Stegostoma tigrinum: one gene and its partner. The protein of the gene in region 1 purifies or fractionates together with the protein of each later gene. This does not show direct contact. Links are inferred from orthologs where the notes say so. Each region holds a gene or a part of one and is shown on either strand. Other genes may lie near its edges.

What was found.
Region 2: the proteins of fen1 (region 1) and rad1 purify together in Homo sapiens (affinity purification with western blotting; 3 studies listed by BioGRID). This does not show direct contact. The link is inferred for Stegostoma tigrinum from reciprocal best matches to the Homo sapiens genes FEN1 and RAD1.

Annotation. Positions count from the first base shown.
Region 1 is NC_081396.1:649,758-658,083, forward strand, and holds the start of fen1 (flap endonuclease 1), read left to right. Parts: upstream 1-4,998; 5' UTR 4,999-5,057; coding exon 5,058-5,139; intron 5,140-7,477; coding exon 7,478-7,580; intron 7,581-8,052; coding exon 8,053-8,155; intron 8,156-8,326. UniProt on the Homo sapiens protein: Structure-specific nuclease with 5'-flap endonuclease and 5'-3' exonuclease activities involved in DNA replication and repair.
Region 2 is NC_081369.1:67,980,326-67,988,941, reverse strand, and holds the start of rad1 (cell cycle checkpoint protein RAD1), read right to left. Parts: upstream 3,410-8,616; 5' UTR 2,809-3,409; coding exon 2,617-2,808; intron 1-2,616. UniProt on the Homo sapiens protein: Component of the 9-1-1 cell-cycle checkpoint response complex that plays a major role in DNA repair. The 9-1-1 complex is recruited to DNA lesion upon damage by the RAD17-replication factor C (RFC) clamp loader complex.

The DNA of each region.
Region 1 (8,326 bases):
CACACTCACATTGATACTCACTTACACTGATACTCACACTCACACTGATACACACACTGATACTCATACTCACACTGATACTCACACTCACACTGATACTCACTTACACTGGTACTCACACTGATACTCACACTCACACTGATACTCACACCGATACTCACACTCTCACTGATACTCACACTCACATTGATACTCACTTACACTGATACTCACACTCACACTGATACACACACTGATACTCATACTCACACTGATACTCACACTCACACTGATACTCACTTACACTGGTACTCACACTGATACTCACACTCACACTGATACTCACACCGATACTCACACTCTCACTGATACTCACACACACACTGATACTCACACTCACACTGATACTCACACAGATACACACACACTGATACTCACACTCACACTGATACACACACTCACACTGATACACATACACATACTCACACTCACATTCTCGGACCTGAGGGCACAGCCTTAGAGTAAAGGAAAGACCTTTTAGAATGGAGATAAGGAGAAACTTCTTCACCAGAGAGTGGTGAATCGATGGAATTCATTGCCACAGAAAGCTGTGGAGGGCAGGATATTGAGTACACTTAAGACTGAGATAGATGGGTTCTTGATTATCAAGGGGATCAAGAGTTACGGGGAGAATGCAGGAGAATGAAGTTGAGGAACTTATCAGCCAATATTGAATGGTGGAGCAGGCTCGATGGGCTGAATGGCCTAACTTCTGCTCTTGTGTTCTTAGGTTGTGTCCTGCTAGATAGTTATATGCCTCGGTTTTTAGGAGTGGTTGGAGTTAGTTCCGGAATGAAACCGGGGTGTATAAATCTCAGCGGGACGAAACGCTGACACTACACCAGAGGTACGCTGACGATGCTACCGAGCACGGTGACAAAATATCAAACACAATGGCTCAGCCAGCAGGTCTACACCCTCACCCACCACCTGAGCTACATAATCTTCTCATAGGCTTTCAGCACACAGCTTGAAAGCACAGCAGGACAGCATGGCACTTGATAAATCCCTGTTTCCGGGAATAAAACAAGCCTGACTCCAGATTAAAAGTCTGAAGCAGATTCTGATCAAGGCCTACAATTCAGTGACTCACCTGACAATGTCGCTTTTTTGTACAGTCCTATCTCTCTGCCTGTCTGAAGCTTGGAGCGTTCGATAGACGTTGCTGAAAAAAACATTAGTTATCTCGAGGCAGTAGCTTTAGACAGAATCTGGAATTTGTGTTTTAATCGATCGAAACTTGCATGTCCCTGCTAACAGTGTTGCCCATCTCCTGCTTCTGCAAAACAAACAAATTTCCACCACGCAGGAATGTATGAATGTAAACAGCTTCTGACACATTTTCCCCTCTCCTGTGCTGACAGAATTCCAGACCCAAACTGAAGGCTGCTCTGTTCCTGCAGCCAGTTTAATGTTGTACCATTTATTTACACCGTCCCTCCTCAGTCTAACATCCAAAAAGCATCAGTTCACATCTTTCTGTATTCCATTAACAGGAGACTGAGAGCTGGTAACGTACAAAAAGTGTGAGATGTGTTTCAATCTGCACAGCCAGGATGACAAATGTCAGAGTCAGTTAGTCAGCCATTTTAGGTTTGTTCACGGCAGCCATTTCAAGTTATCACAGCTCTGACATTGACTTTATAACAGGGAGAGGTGGGGACCTGGGGAGCCTGTGTGTGTTTGAGTGATGTGTAGATCCACCAGAGTGATAGCTGGACAGTGAGGTTTCAATGGCAAGGGAGTGAAATGACACAAACTCGGGACTGAATCTCTGAAAGCTCGGTGGATCGGAGATAGTTGAATTTTTCAAGGGAATAATGGAAACTGTTGTGATATGTAGAGAGAAAGGCTTCCTGCTGCTTCTGGACTAGGATCATTGTCTAAAAGTGTAACAATACTCTGACACACTCTCAAAGTTTTGCTCTCGTATTTATTCCATTTATCCACATAAATTTCGAACATACACATTCTCACTCACTCTCTCTGTCATACACAATCTCACTCTCTCTCATACAAATTCTCACTCTCTCATACACAATCTCTCATTCACAATCTCACTCTCACACATTTTCACTGTCTGTCATACACAATCTCACTCTCTCTCTCTCTCTCATACACAATCCCACTATCTCTCTCTCATTCACAATCTCACTCTCACATTTTCACTCTCTGTATAACACAATGTCACTTTCTCTCTCATACACAATCTCACTATCTCTCAGGCATAATCTCACTCACACAATCTCACTATCTCTCAGACATAATCTCACTCACACAATCTCACTATCTCTCAGGCATAATCTCACTCACACAATCTCACTATCTCTCTCAGACATAATCTCACTCATACAATCTCACTATCTCTCTCAGACATAATCTCACTCACACAATCTCACTATCTCTCTCAGACATAATCTCACTCACACAATCTCACTATCTCTCTCAGACATAATCTCACTCACACAATCTCACTATCTCTCTCAGACATAATCTCACTCACACAATCTCACTATCTCAGACACAATCTCACTCTCACACAAAATCACTATCTCTTGCAGACAAAATCTCTCACCCTCACACATAATCTAGATTTCCATCTTGTATCTAAAGGGACCAAGTGATATAGGAGGGGAGGGTGCAGTTAGGCAATTGAACTGAATGATCAGCCTTGATCATATTGAATGATGGAGCAGGATCAAGGGTCCAAATGACCTACTCCCGCTCCTATCCTGTACGTTTCAATGTCATGTCTCCGGGTTCACTGGCATGGGACACAAAGCTGTGGGAGTGATCAAAGGAGCTGGAAACAGAAACTGAAAAGACTGCGAATGCTGAAAATCAGAAACAAAAACAGAAACAGAAACAGAAACAGAAACAGAAAGTGCTGAGAAAGGTCAGCAGGTCTGGCAACATCTGTGGAGAATGCTTCTTCCTCAGAACCGAGGTTATACAGGACAGAGATTGTGAAATTGCAAATGAGACTGAGCTACATGAGAAGTAAGAGCAGGACGAGGCAACTCAGCTCCTTGAACTGATCCACCATTCACAGAACGTAGAACGTTACAGCACAGTACAGGCCCTTCGGCCCAAGATGTTGTGCCGAACATTTACCCAAAACCTAAGGTCTACCTAACCTCCACCCCTACTTTATACTATCATCCATTTGCCTGCCTAATAGCCGCTTAAATGCCCCCAATGAGGCCGACTCCACTACCCTCTCTGGCAATGCATTCCATGCCCCTACCACTCTCTGACTTAAAAAAACTACCTCTGATGTCTCCCCTATATCTACCTCCACTCACTTTAAAACAATGTCCCCTCATAATAGCTACCTCCATCCGAGGAAAACGTCTCTGGCTGTCCACTCTCTCTTTATCTCTGATCATTTTGTACACCTCGATCAAGTCATCTCTAATCCTTTGTTGTTCTGAAGAGAAAAGCCGTAGCTCTCTCAATTTTTCGTTGTAAGACCTTCCCTCCATTCCAGGCAATATCCTGGTAAATCTCCTCGGCACCTTTTCCAATGTTTCCACATCCAATATAATCACCACTGATCTCATGTGAGCCTCAATTCCACCTTCCTACCCACTCTCCATAATGCTTTAACCCATTATTAATTAAAAATCTGTCTGTGCCCTTAAACACTCTCAGCATCCACTGCACACAGGGGTCATGAATTCCACAGATTTATCGCCCTTTGAGAGAAGTTATTCCTCCTCATCCCTGTTTTAAATCATGGAATAGAATCATGCAGTTCAGAAGAGGCCCTCCCTTTGCCCATCAGGTCTGCACTGCCAAAACTGCGATAAATCTGCACGAGTCCCACTTTCCAGCCCCAGGCCCACAGCTTTGGACATCATGACATTTCAAGTGCTCATCCAAGTCATCTTTAAAGGTTATGACATTACCCAGCACTACCACCCACCCTGGCAGTTCATTCCGGATGCCCACAAGTCTCTGGATGTAAAACATTTTTCTCAAATATCCTCTAAACCTCATGCCTTCCAGCAGAAGACTGTGACCCCAGGTTAGTGACCTTTTAATTCAAACTGCTTCCTATCCACAGGTAAAGGGGTGTCTCTCTCTCTCTCTCTGGGTCCTTTCAGGAGGTATTAAAGGATCAGGGACAATAACGGTGTTTCTCTCTCAGGCCTTTCAGCGGGTATTAAAGGATCAGGGACAATAATGGTGTGTCTCTCTCGGACCTTTCGGGGAGGTATTAAAGGATTAGGGACAATAACAGTGTGTCTCTCTTGGGACTTCTGGGGATATTAAAGGATCAGGGACAATAACAGAGAGTCTCTCTCAGGAATACTGAGGATTTGACCGGGCCCGGGGTCATGGCCTTTCCTTCCCCAGTGGTTGCCCGTGACCCCAGATGGTTTTGTACGGCCTGCAGACGATGCTATGGTCACCGTGAGCCAGGATGGGTCGGGTTATGTTAAAGACAGCGAACATATCTCTGGTCAGTGGTGAGATTTGCTGCATCACCTCACCCTGTGTGCTCCCCCCGAAAACTGAAACCGGGTTTGGAAATAAACTCCATAAGGCGTAGGAGCAGAAATTAGGCCATTCGGCCCATGGGGTCTGCTCCGTCACCCTCAGCAATGCCACCTTTAACCGGGGCGGTGGGGGGTGGGGTGAGGCGTCTGTGTGTGTGGAGGATGGGGAGGAAGGAAATAAAAATTCACAGGATTGAGGCGAAATGCCCGCATTTCAAATCCTTTCTCAGTGGGTGGGCTAAGATAATAAAATGTGAGGCTGGATGAACACAGCAGGCCAAGCAGCTCCTGAGATGCTGCTGGGCCTGCTGTGTACATCCAGCCTCACATTTTACTATCTTGGATTCTCCAGCATCTGCAGTTCCCATTATCTCAGTGGGTGGGCTGCCCCTTTAATAGGGGCACATCGATGCGGTCGGCGATCGACGCACCGCACCTGGAGGACTGCGCGATCGATGCGACCGGAGGTCGGCGCAGCCCCCTGGAGGACTCCGGCCCGGTGGCGCGCTGAAGATGGGGATCCAGGGCTTAGCGAAACTGCTCGGGGACGTGGCCCCGGGAGCCGTCAGGGAGCAGCAAATGAAACATTATTTCGGTGAATGCACAGCCCCCGGCCCCCACCCCCAGGGGGAGGGTGCAATATGTGTGTCCGGCCATGTGGTTCCTGCACCCGGCCCTGGATGGAGGGAAACTGGGCACTGGGCACTGGGCACTGGGCAGGGTGGGGGAGGGTGGGCACGGGGCAGGAGGGTTGGCACTGGGCAGGAGGGGAGGGTGTGCATTGGGTGGGATGTGCACTGGGTGGGAGGGGAGGGTGTGCATTGGGTCGGATGTGCATTGGGCAGGAGGGGAGGGTGGGCACTGGGCAGGTGGTGCACTGGGCAGGAGGGGAGGGTGTGTATTGGGCAGGAGGGGAGGGTGGGCACTGGGCAGGTGGTGCACTGGGCAGGAGGGGAGGGTGTGTATTGGGCAGGAGGTGCACTGGGCAGGAGGGGAGGGTGGGCATTGGGTGGGATGTGCATTGGGCAGGATGGGAGGGTGGGCATGGCGTAGGTGGGCACGGTGTAGGAGGGCAGGGTATGCTCTGGCCAGGAGGTGCACTGGGCAGGAGGGCAGGGTATGCTCTGGCCAGGACGTGCACTGGGCAGGAGGGGAGGGTGGGCATTGGGTGGGATGTGCACTGGGCAGGAGGGGTGGGTGGGCACTCTGCAGGAGGGCAGGGTATGCTCTGGCCAGGAGGTGCACTGGGCAGGAGGAGAGGGTGTGCACTGGGCAGGAGGGGAGGGTGGGATGTGCATTGAGTAGGACGGGAGAGTGTTCACCGGACATTGGTCAGGAGGGGAGGGTGTGCGTTGGGCAGGAGGGGAGGCTGTGCATTGGGCAGGATGTGCACTGGGCAGGAGGGGAGGCTGTGCATTGGGCAGGAGGGGAGGCTGTGCATTGGGCAAGATGTGCATTGGGCAGGAGGAGAGGGTGTGCATTGGGCAGGATGGGAGGGTGTGCATTGGGCAGGATGTGCACTGGGCAGGAGGAGAGGGTGTGCACTGGCATTGGGCAGGAGAGGAGGGGGCGCGCCGGGCAGGAGGGGAGGGGGCGCGCCGGGCAGGAGGGGAGGGGGCGCGCCGGGCAGGAGGGGAGGGGGCGCGCCGGGCAGGTGGGGAGGGTGTGCACTGGGCAGGATGTGCATTGGGCAGGAAGGGAGGGCGCGCGTTGGGCCCACCGTGCCTCGCACACCGTCTCGCTGCCTGCTCGTGTCCCTTGCCATCCCAGCCTTTCCCTGTAAGCTCCCGCTGCCAGCTCTCTGTGTGAGTCTCCCCGCGCTCCCTCAGTGTCCCAGTGGCCATCTTTCTGAGGGTCACAGACAGGGGGCTAACAGCCGATGTCTTGCTCCCCCAGTGTCCAGGAGCCCACCACCAGAGGGCATTGGTTTAAGGTGAGGGGCGGGCTTGGGATGGGGCCCCTGGGGAGAATGGAAAGGGACCTGAGGGGGGTAACTATCTCACACAGAGGGTGGTGCGTGTGGGGGAAGGAGCTGCCGGAGGAAGGGGGTGGGGGCCGGTACAGTTACAGCATCGGGATGGGGACGTGGGTAGGGAGGGTTCAGAGGGACAGGGGGCTGAATGCTGGCAAATGGGACTAGGATACATGGTCAGCATGGATGAGTTAGGCTGAAGGGCCTCTTTTGGTGCTGTGCAACTCAAAGTCACCCCCTGCCCCGTCCCACCAAGTACTTGGATTTGAACCAGACCCTGATGAGCACTGGAGCTTGTTATTACAAAGTACCCCGTTCTCTCGTATCCTTCAGGGGCTGCAATCCGACCGGGAAATGTGCCGACGCTCAGAGAATTGTGGTTGGCCGTTAATTTGTTTTACACGAGCGCGCTCACTCGGTCTGCCGCGCTTCCTTTTCCCAGTTCCGGCAATACTCCTGGTGCGTCGTCCCGATCCGAAACCAACGTCTTCGCTGTTTCCTGCTGGCAGCTTGTGTCGGCCGGAGACCTCCCTGTCTCTGCCAGCTTTCCGCAGCTCTCCTGCCTTTTCCCCCTGCCCCCACCGCGCTGCGCGCATGCATCGTACTCCTCTCCGTTTGCTCGCCTTTTTGATCTCTTACTTAGCCTTTTGTTGGGTGGGGGGGGGGGTTGCGACCCTTTGGAAATGAGACCAGAGCGTGGAAGGGTCGGCGGGGGGAGGGTGACGGGCAACTGAGCATCTTTGTCCCACCAGCCTGGAGCCATCTGCAAATCGGCCAACTCTACATTCGCTTCCTTACCCCTCCCAACACGCCTGAACCCGTCAAGAGGGAGCGAGGGGTTGGGATGGCCTCCTGGACATCCTGCCTGTCCCCTCCTGACCCAAAGCTGCTCACCCATGCCCTTTCTCCATCTCTTCCTCCAACAAATACCACCCCCCCCCGCCCAAAAACCCCACTGCAGGACGCAAAATCGCCATCGATGCTTCGATGAGTATCTACCAGTTTCTGATTGCGGTCCGGCAGGATGGGAACGTGCTGCAGAACGAAGCTGGTGAGACCACCAGGTAACAGGGGGGCGCTGGGCGAGGGTGGGGGGAATGGAGAGAGACGCCTGGGTGCACGCAGAGGTGAGAGTCGCTGTCGCGGCCCACCATTGATCGCCCCGTCCCTGGTTTCGCCCCCGTCCCCGAGAAGGTTGGGGGTGAGCTGCTTCCTTGAGCTGCTGCGGTCCATTTGCTGTGGGGTCGACCCACAGTGTTCCTCAGGGGAGGGAATTCCGGGAATTCCAGGGATTCGGACCCAGCTGCACTGAAGGAACGGCCAGTCGGCGCCGCGACCCTCGGGCAGCGGCCCGCTCCCTCGGCGCCGACCCTCAGGCAGCGGCCCGCTACCTGGGCGCCGACCCTCGGGCAGCGGCCCGCTCCCTCAGTCCGTGAGAGTTTGGGGTTTTATTGGCTGTGAGATTTTGGGTGGGTGTGCCGTAGCCAGTCAAACACCTTCTGCAAACTCTGCCTTTCCCACCTCTGTTCTCCTCAGCCATCTGATGGGAATGTTTTATCGGACAATCCGGATGGTTGAGAATGGGATTAAACCCGTCTACGTCTTCGATGGGAAGCCACCCGACCTCAAATCTGCAGAGGTACATCAGTGTGTGACCCTGTGTGCGATCGGGGAGGGAGGGAGGGAGTGACCCTGTGTGCGATTGGGGAGGGAGGGAGTGACCCTGTGAGCGATCGGGGAGGGAGTGACCCTGTGCGCGATCGGGGAGGGAGGGAGGGAGTGACCCTGTGCGCGATCGGGGAGGGAGGGA
Region 2 (8,616 bases), on another chromosome or scaffold:
ATTTGTAGAGTCCCTTTGGATTCTTCTTAGTCCTACCATGTCTCCTTTCTTCCCATCCTGATTTCCCTCGAGAATACTCCTATTACCCTTATACTCTTACAAGGATTCACTCGATCCCTGCTGTCTATATTTGATAAATAATTTCTTCTTTCTGGGCCTCAACTCTATGGTCATCCAGCAATTCCTCACTTACCAGCGTTGCCCTTCACACTACCGTATTTTTTGAAGGTTTCCCACTTTCCAGACATCCATTTTCCTGTGAATACCCAACCCCCAACATCCCCCAATTAACTGTTGATACTTCTTGCTTAATCAGACTTACTCCAATTTAGTTCTTTAACATTTAGATCAGGTCCAAGCTTTTCCACGACTGTTTTAAAATGAATAGAATTATAATCACTCGGTCCAAACTGCTCCCCCATTGATACCGCAGACACTTGCCCTGCCTTATTTTCCAGGAGAAAGACACATTTGCCTTTTCTCTAGTAGGTACATCCACATACCAAATAAGAAAACTTTCTTGTGTACACTTTACAAATTCCTCTCTGTCCAAGCCCTTAACATGGCAGTCACAATTTATGTCTGGAAAGTTAAATTGCTTTACAGTTACACCCCTATTATTCTTACTGATAACTGAGATCTCGGTACAAATTTCTCAATTTTCCGCTGACGGTTCCTCTGTAGACTCTTTGGTTATCCTCACCTCTTAACTTTCCAAATTCTTTTTTGTATCATCCAAAATCTTGTTGATAATACAATCACTTCCCACATCCAAGTCATTCCTATACAACTACAAAAAATTCCACAGTATCTCTTTTCAGACTCCAGACTCAGCCCCAAACTTGCCACAACTCCTTTCCTTCCCTCTCCCAGGGCCCGGTATCTGCTCTTTCCCCCTTCCTCTGTCCAAAGCCCTTGGCATTTTTACCTCCTCCCCCAGTATCGTCCCATGGCCCCTAAACTCCAGAATTCTCCTTCCCCAACTACCCTGCACTGTATCCTCCACCCTGGATCCTCTCCCACAACCCCAATTCCCCACGCACACTCCCTTTCCCGATCCCCCCCTCATATCCTCCGTAACACCATCCCCGATGAATTCTCACACCTGCCCCCCACCCAGATATTCCCACACTACCCCACCCGCCACCAAACCTCCCTCACACCCTCCCCTGGCACCACCCCTCACAGTGAACCCCCCCACCTCCCAATACCCCTCTCAATCCCTCATACCCTCCCCGACACCACCGCTCACAGTGACCCCCACAACCGCCTCACACCGTTCCCACCTCCCACCTCCCAATCTCCCCTCAATCCCTCACACCCTCCCCCGGCGCCACCCCTCACACTGACCCTCCCAATCCCTCACACCGACCCTCCCAATCCCTCACACCCTCCCCCGGCACCACCCCTCACACTGACCCTCCCAATCCCTCACACCCTCCCCCGGCACCACCCCTCACACTGACCCTCCCAATCCCTCACACCCTCCCCCGGCACCACCCCTCACACTGACCCTCCCAATCCCTCACACCCTCCCCCGGCACCACCCCTCACACTGACCCTCCCAATCCCTCACACCCTCCCCCGGCACCACCCCTCACACTGACCCTCCCAATCCCTCACACCCTCCCCCGGCACCACCCCTCACACTGACCCTCCCAATCCCTCACACCCTCCCCCGGCACCACCCCTCACACTGACCCTCCCAATCCCTCACACCCTCCCCCGGCACCACCCCTCACACTGACCCTCCCAATCCCTCACACCCTCCCCCGGCACCACCCCTCACACTGACCCTCCCAATCCCTCACACCCTCCCCCGGCACCACCCCTCACACTGACCCTCCCAATCCCTCACACCCTCCCCCGGCACCACCCCTCACACTGACCCTCCCAATCCCTCACACCCTCCCCCGGCACCACCCCTCACACTGACCCTCCCAATCCCTCACACCCTCCCCCGGCACCACCCCTCACACTGACCCTCCCAATCCCTCACACCCTACCCCGGCACCACCCCTCACACTGACCCTCCCAATCCCTCACACCCTACCCCGGCACCACCCCTCACACTGACCCTCCCAATCCCTCACACCCTACCCCGGCACCACCCCTCACACTGACCCCCCCAATCCCTCACACCCTCCCCTGGCACCACCCCTCACACTGACCCCCCCAACCCCCCTCACACTGACCCCCCCACCTCCCCTCACACTGACCCCCCCACCTCCCCTCACACTGACCCCCCCACCTCCCAGTCCCCCTTCAATCCTTCACGCCCTCCCCTGACAACCCCTCACACTGACACCCCCCCAAATCCCTCACAACCTCCCCTGACACCCCCCCTCACGCTCTCCCCTGACATCCCCCTCACACTGACCCCCCCAATCCCTCACACCCTCCCCTGACACCCCCCCAATCCCTCACACCCTCCCCTGACACTCCCCCTCACACTGACCCCCCAAATCCCTCACACCGACACCCCAAATCCTTCACACCCTCCCCTGACACCACCCCACTGACACCCCTGAATCCCTCACACCCTCCTCCCAATCCTTCACACCCCACCCCCGACACCCGCCCGATGAACTCTCACACCTCCCACCCCCCCGGTACCTGGATGAACGCGTTCCCCTGGACGCTCTTGGCGGCCTCAGCTGTCACCCTGATGCCGTTAGCGGAGGCGAACACCGTCGCCTGGTCTCGGAAATTAACGGCTTTAAGCAGATTTGACAGATTCCGCACATTTTCTAAACTGGCGACGAGAACAAACCGTTCGGCTCCCGCCTCAGGCCTGGGCTGAGGCATTGCGCCCACGATCGGTAAAACTCCAGGCCCAGGCTTCAGTCACGGTTAGGCCGCAGCTGCTTCCGCGGAGTCTCAGCTCCAGGCAGCAGACAGATACAACAGGTTTGAATTGATGAATAAATCTTCGGCACTTACAGCCAACTAAACCATTCAATCACCATTGAAACCGTAGGAGGCCATTCAGCCCGTTGTGCCTGTGCAACGCTCGGGCTGTCCTTCAGCTTTGTCTGTTCAATTCCCTCCTTTGGCGCCGCGCCCGCCAAACTATCAAACACAACCTGTTGCTGCTGTCAAAATGACCCTCCTCCAGGGATCGTTTATGTCTTCTAACAACTCTCTTAAATCTGTGCAACTCCATCAGCCTCCTGTACCCTAAATAAAACAAACTCAGCCTCCTGTACCCTAAATAAAACAAACTCAACCTGTCCTTCAGAACTGATACTTTTCATTGCAGGCAATATCCTGGTGAATCTCCTCTGTAACCTCTCCAGTGTAGTCATACAAAAAAAGAACAAAGAAAATTACAGCACAAGAACAGGCCCTTCGGCCCTCCAAGCTTTTGCCGATCCCAGATCCTCTGTCTAAACCTGTCACCTATTTTTCACCTATCCCTCTACTCCCTGCCCATTCATGTATCTGTCTAGATACATCTTAAAAGACATTATTGTGTTCGCCTCTACCACCTCCACTGGCAACACGGTCCAGGCACCCACCACCCTCTGCATAAAGAACTTTCCAGACATAGCGCCCTTAAACTTTTCCCCCTCTCACCTTGAAATCATGACCCCTAGAAATTGAATTCCCCACACTGGGAAAAAGTTTCTTGCTATCTATACCTCTCATGATTTTGTAGACCTTGATCAGGTCCCCCTCAAACTCCATCTTTCTAACGTAAACAATCCTAATCTACTCAACCTCTCTTCATAGCTAGCGCCCTCCATACCACGCAACATCCTGGTGAACCTCCTCTGCACCCTCTCCAAAGCATCCACATCCAGGGCTGTTAAGAAGGCATACAGTGTTTTAGCTTTCATTAATAGAGGAATCGAGTTCCGGAACCAAGAGGTTATGCTGCAGCTGTACAAAACTCTGGTGCGGCCACACTTGGAGTATTGCGTACAGTTCTGGTCACCGCATTATAAGAAGGATGTGGAAGCTTTGGAAAGGGTGCAGAGGAGATTTACTAGGATGTTGGCTGGTACGGAGGGAAGGTCTTACGAGGAAAGGCTGAGGGACTTGAGGCTGTTTTCACTAGAGAGAAGAAGGTTGAGAGGTGACTTAATTGAAACATATAAAATAATTAGAGGGTTAGATAGGGTGGATAGGGAGTGCCTTTTTCCTAGGATGGTGACGGCGAGCACGAGGGGGCATAGCTTTAAATTGAGGGGTGAAAGATATAGGACAGATGCCAGAGGTGGTTTCTTTACTCAGAGAGTAGTAAGGGAATGGAACACTTTGCCTGCAACGGTAGTAGATTCGCCAACTTTAGGTACATTTAAGTCTTCATTGGATAAGCATATGGATGTACATGGAATAGTGTAGGTTAGATGGGCTTGAGATCGGTATGACATGTCGGTACAACATTGAGGGCCGAAGGGCCTGTACTGTGCTGTAGTGTTCTGTGTTCTATGTTCTATGTTCTATCCTTTTGGTAATGTGATGAACAGAACTGTACACAGTATTCCAAATGTGGTCGAACCAAAGTCCGAGACAACTGTAACATGACCTGCCAACTCAATACCCCGTCCGATGAATGAAAGCATGCCGTATGCCTTCTTGATCACTCTATCGACCTGCATTGTCATCTTCAGGGTACAATGGACGTGAACACCCAAATCTCTCTTTGCATCAATTTTCCCCAGGACTTTTCCATTTACCGTATAGTTCACTCTTGAATTGGATCTTCCAGAATGCAACACCTCGGATTTGCCTGGATTGAACTCCATCAGCCATTTCTCCATCTAACGTCCAAGCTATCTATATTGTGCCGCATATTCTGACAGCCCCCTTCACTATCTGCTACACCGCCAATCTTAGTGTCATCTGCAAACTTGCTAATCAGGCCATCTGTACCTTCCTCCAGATCATTTATGGAACATTCATCGGTACTGGATATGAAATTTGTTGAGGGCTAGGAAACAGTGATTAATAGCCAGTGGGTATTTCATGGGCTGGAGGACAGCTTGTAATAGAGGTTTTGGGGGCTGAGCATTATAATCATAGAATTTAACACTATAAAAGGAGACCATTTAATCCATTGTGTTTGAACCACATTTTGAAAGAGCCACCCAACTGGTCCCATTTTCCGGGCCCTATCCATGTAACCTTCTAAATTCATCACTTTTATGTGTAGACCCATCTCTCTTTTGAAACCTCCTATCAAATCCACCTACGCTGCACTACCAGGTAGCACATTCCAAATGCTGACAACTCGCTGAGTAAAGACGTTTTTCCTCATTTCACTCCTACCTGGCTTACTGACAATCTTAAAATTGTAACCACTAGTTACTGACATATCAAGTAGTAGAAATAGAATATCCTTCTTTACCCTGTCAAAATTGTTCATAATTTTGAACACCTCAGTAAGGTCACCTCTTAATCTCTGCTCCAAGGAGAATAAGCCCAATTTCTCTATTTTTTTCTAATATCTAAAATCCCTCATTCGTATTACCATTGTAATAAACCTCCTTTGAACTCTCACCAGATGAATAAGCAGTGCTCTGTTTTCAAATAAACATGTTGGACTATAACTTGGTGTCATGTGATTTCTGATTTTGTCCACTCCGGTCCAACACCGGCACGTCCACAGCATGACTTTAACATCCTTCTTTAAATAAGGTATCCAGAACTGAACACAATTTTAAATGTGGTCTTACCAATAATTTGTGGAGGTGTAGCATCACCTCCTTGTTTTTTTTTCAAAATATGATTTATTGGGCAAAGTATCTCAAAAGTACATTCTATGTTGATATTGTTTAATATCATAGTACACAAAGTCTTTTAGTGTTACCATAGTTCAACTGATACCATAAGTAAACAACTCACATCTGGAAACATTGAAATCAATAACACAAAGTGTATGCAGTTAAATAACAATTCTGCTGATAAATAAGATTCCACACGATGATTTTACTTGGTATTGCCTGACTACATAATTCCATATTCCTTGTACACGGATTTCAGTTTTTCCACAGAGATGATGTAATCTATTTTCCCAAAATCAATGGAAATGCCAAGCACTGAAATCTTTTTTTCTCCATTTTGTTGTGATCAATGTTTCCATCCCCCAGGCATTTGTATTCCAGCTCCAGCTCTTCTATTTCAGGGACCAATTTTTCACAAATATTATTGGTGCCCCTCACAATGCCCTTGTATTCCAAGCTGCCCTTCTTGCTAACCCTCATTAGGATGTATTTGAAAACCCTGAGATAACTAGGTGTAGAGCTGGATGAACACAGCAGGCCAAGCAGCATCAGAGGAGCAGGAAGGTTGACGTTTCAGGCCTAGACACTTCTTCATTTTCGAAAAGGTACTAGGCCGGAAACATCAACCTTCCTGCTCCTCTGATGCTACTTGGCCTGCTGTGTTCATCCAGCTCTACACTTGTTATCTCAGATTCTCCTACATCTGCAGTTCCTACTATCTTTGAAAACCCTGTCAGGATATCTCCATGTTGGCCACAGCAGTCGGTTTGACTACGCGTCTTTTTATAAACCCAAGGATCCTATAAATTTTCTTAACAATGATTTCAACTTACCTGGCCACCTTCAGAGAATTTTGTGAACCCCGAAGTCTGTCTGCTCCTGTATTCCCTCAGAGTTGTATCATTGAGCCTGTATTGTCAATTTTTTTTTCTACCAAAATGCATTACTTGACATTTCTCTCCAATGAAATACATCTGCTAAGTGTGAGCCCATTTGGCCAACTTGTCAGCATCCCTCAGGGGTGACACGGCAGCTCATTGGTTAGCACTGCTGTCTCACTGTGCCATGGACGTGGTTTCAATTCCAGCACTGGGCGACTGTATGGAGTTGGCACATTCTCCCATGTCTACATGGATGTGCTCCGGTTTCCTCCCACAGTCCAAAGATTTGCAGGCTAGGTGCAGTTTCCATGCTAAATGCAGGGTCACACAGATAGGATATGGGGGTGGGTCTAGATGGAATGCTTTTCGGAGGGCCATTGTCTCGAAGGGCTGAATGGCCTGCTTCTACACTTATCTTAGTCACTCAGCATCATCCTCACAATTCATTATTCACCCTAGCTTATAATGATTTGCAAATTTAAAGATTTTCCCTCAACATCTATCTTCAAATCATAAATATAAATCAGAAAAAGCAAGGGTTCCAACACCAGTTCCCGGTGATCACCATTTTTAACATGTCTCTGATCTGAAAAATGCCTATCTATTCATACCCTCTTTTTCCTATCTTTTAAACAACTTTGAATCCCTACCATCATGTACCCAATGATCTAAATATAAAAGTCTAAATATACAGCATTAACAAAACTACCCTTATCCTCTGCCTGTGTTACCCTGTCAAAGAAGTTAACTAAATTTGTCAGACATGATCTGCCTTTGACAAAGCCATGTTGATTGCCTAGTATTAGCTTATTTTACTCTAAGCGTGTATTTACTTTATCCCATATTACGGCCTCCATCAGTTTACCTACCACTGATGTCATGCTGACTGGTATGCAGTCCTGGGTTATTATATGCCTGTTTCTTAAACAACAATTGGGTCCTATTCTGATCTTGATACATATAAATAATCTAGATCTAGGTGTTCAGGGTACAATTTCAAAGTTAATAAATGACACAAACCATGGAAGAATGTTAAGCCAATAGGAGGACAATGTAAAAGACAAAAGGCAGTAGACAAGTTGGGTGGAACGGATAGATACTTGATAGATGAAGTTCTGTGTGGAAAAGCACAAGGTGATATATTTTGATACAAAGGACACCAAATGACAGGATATTCTGAAGTGTATGTGTTCTGAAAGGTGTGCAGGAGCAGAGAAACCTGAATGAATAGGCACATAAGTCATCAAAGATACCAGGACAGGTAGAGACAGCTGTTAATAAAGCATTGAGTAGAGTTATACATTTGTACAGCATGGAAACAAACCCCTCAGTCCAACTCATTCAGGCTGACCAAATATCCAATATTAATCTAGTCCCATTTACCAGCATTTTGCCCAGAAGCCTCTAAACCCTTACTATTCATGTACCCATCTAGATACTTTTTAACTATTACAATTGTACCAGCCTCCACTACTTCCTCTGGCACCTCATTCCATAGATGCATCACCCTCTGTGTGAAATAGCTGTTCCTGAGATCCTTTTTATAACTCTTCCCTCTCAAGTTAAACCTATGCTGTAGTGTTTTGGACTCCCCCCGCCCTGGGGAAAAAAACATTGGCTATTCTCCTTGTTCATGCCCTTATTGACTTTATAGAACATAGAACAGTACAGCATAATACAGGCCCTTTTGCCCACAATATTGTGCTGAACTTTTACCCTGAACCTAAGATCTATGTAACCTCCACTGCTACCTTATACTATCATCTATATGCCTTTCTAATAGTTGCTTAAATGCCCATAATGACGCCGACTCCGACCCTCTCCAGCAACGCATTCCACGCCCCTACCACTCTCAATTAGTAGGTAAGAGATGGGGGTGCGGCTTGAGGTGGGAGGAGCGGATAGGTGAGAGGAAGAACACTTTAGGGAGGCAGGGACGAGCTGGGCTGGTTTTGGGACACAGTGGGGGAGGGGAGATTTTGAAGCTGGTGAAATCCACATTG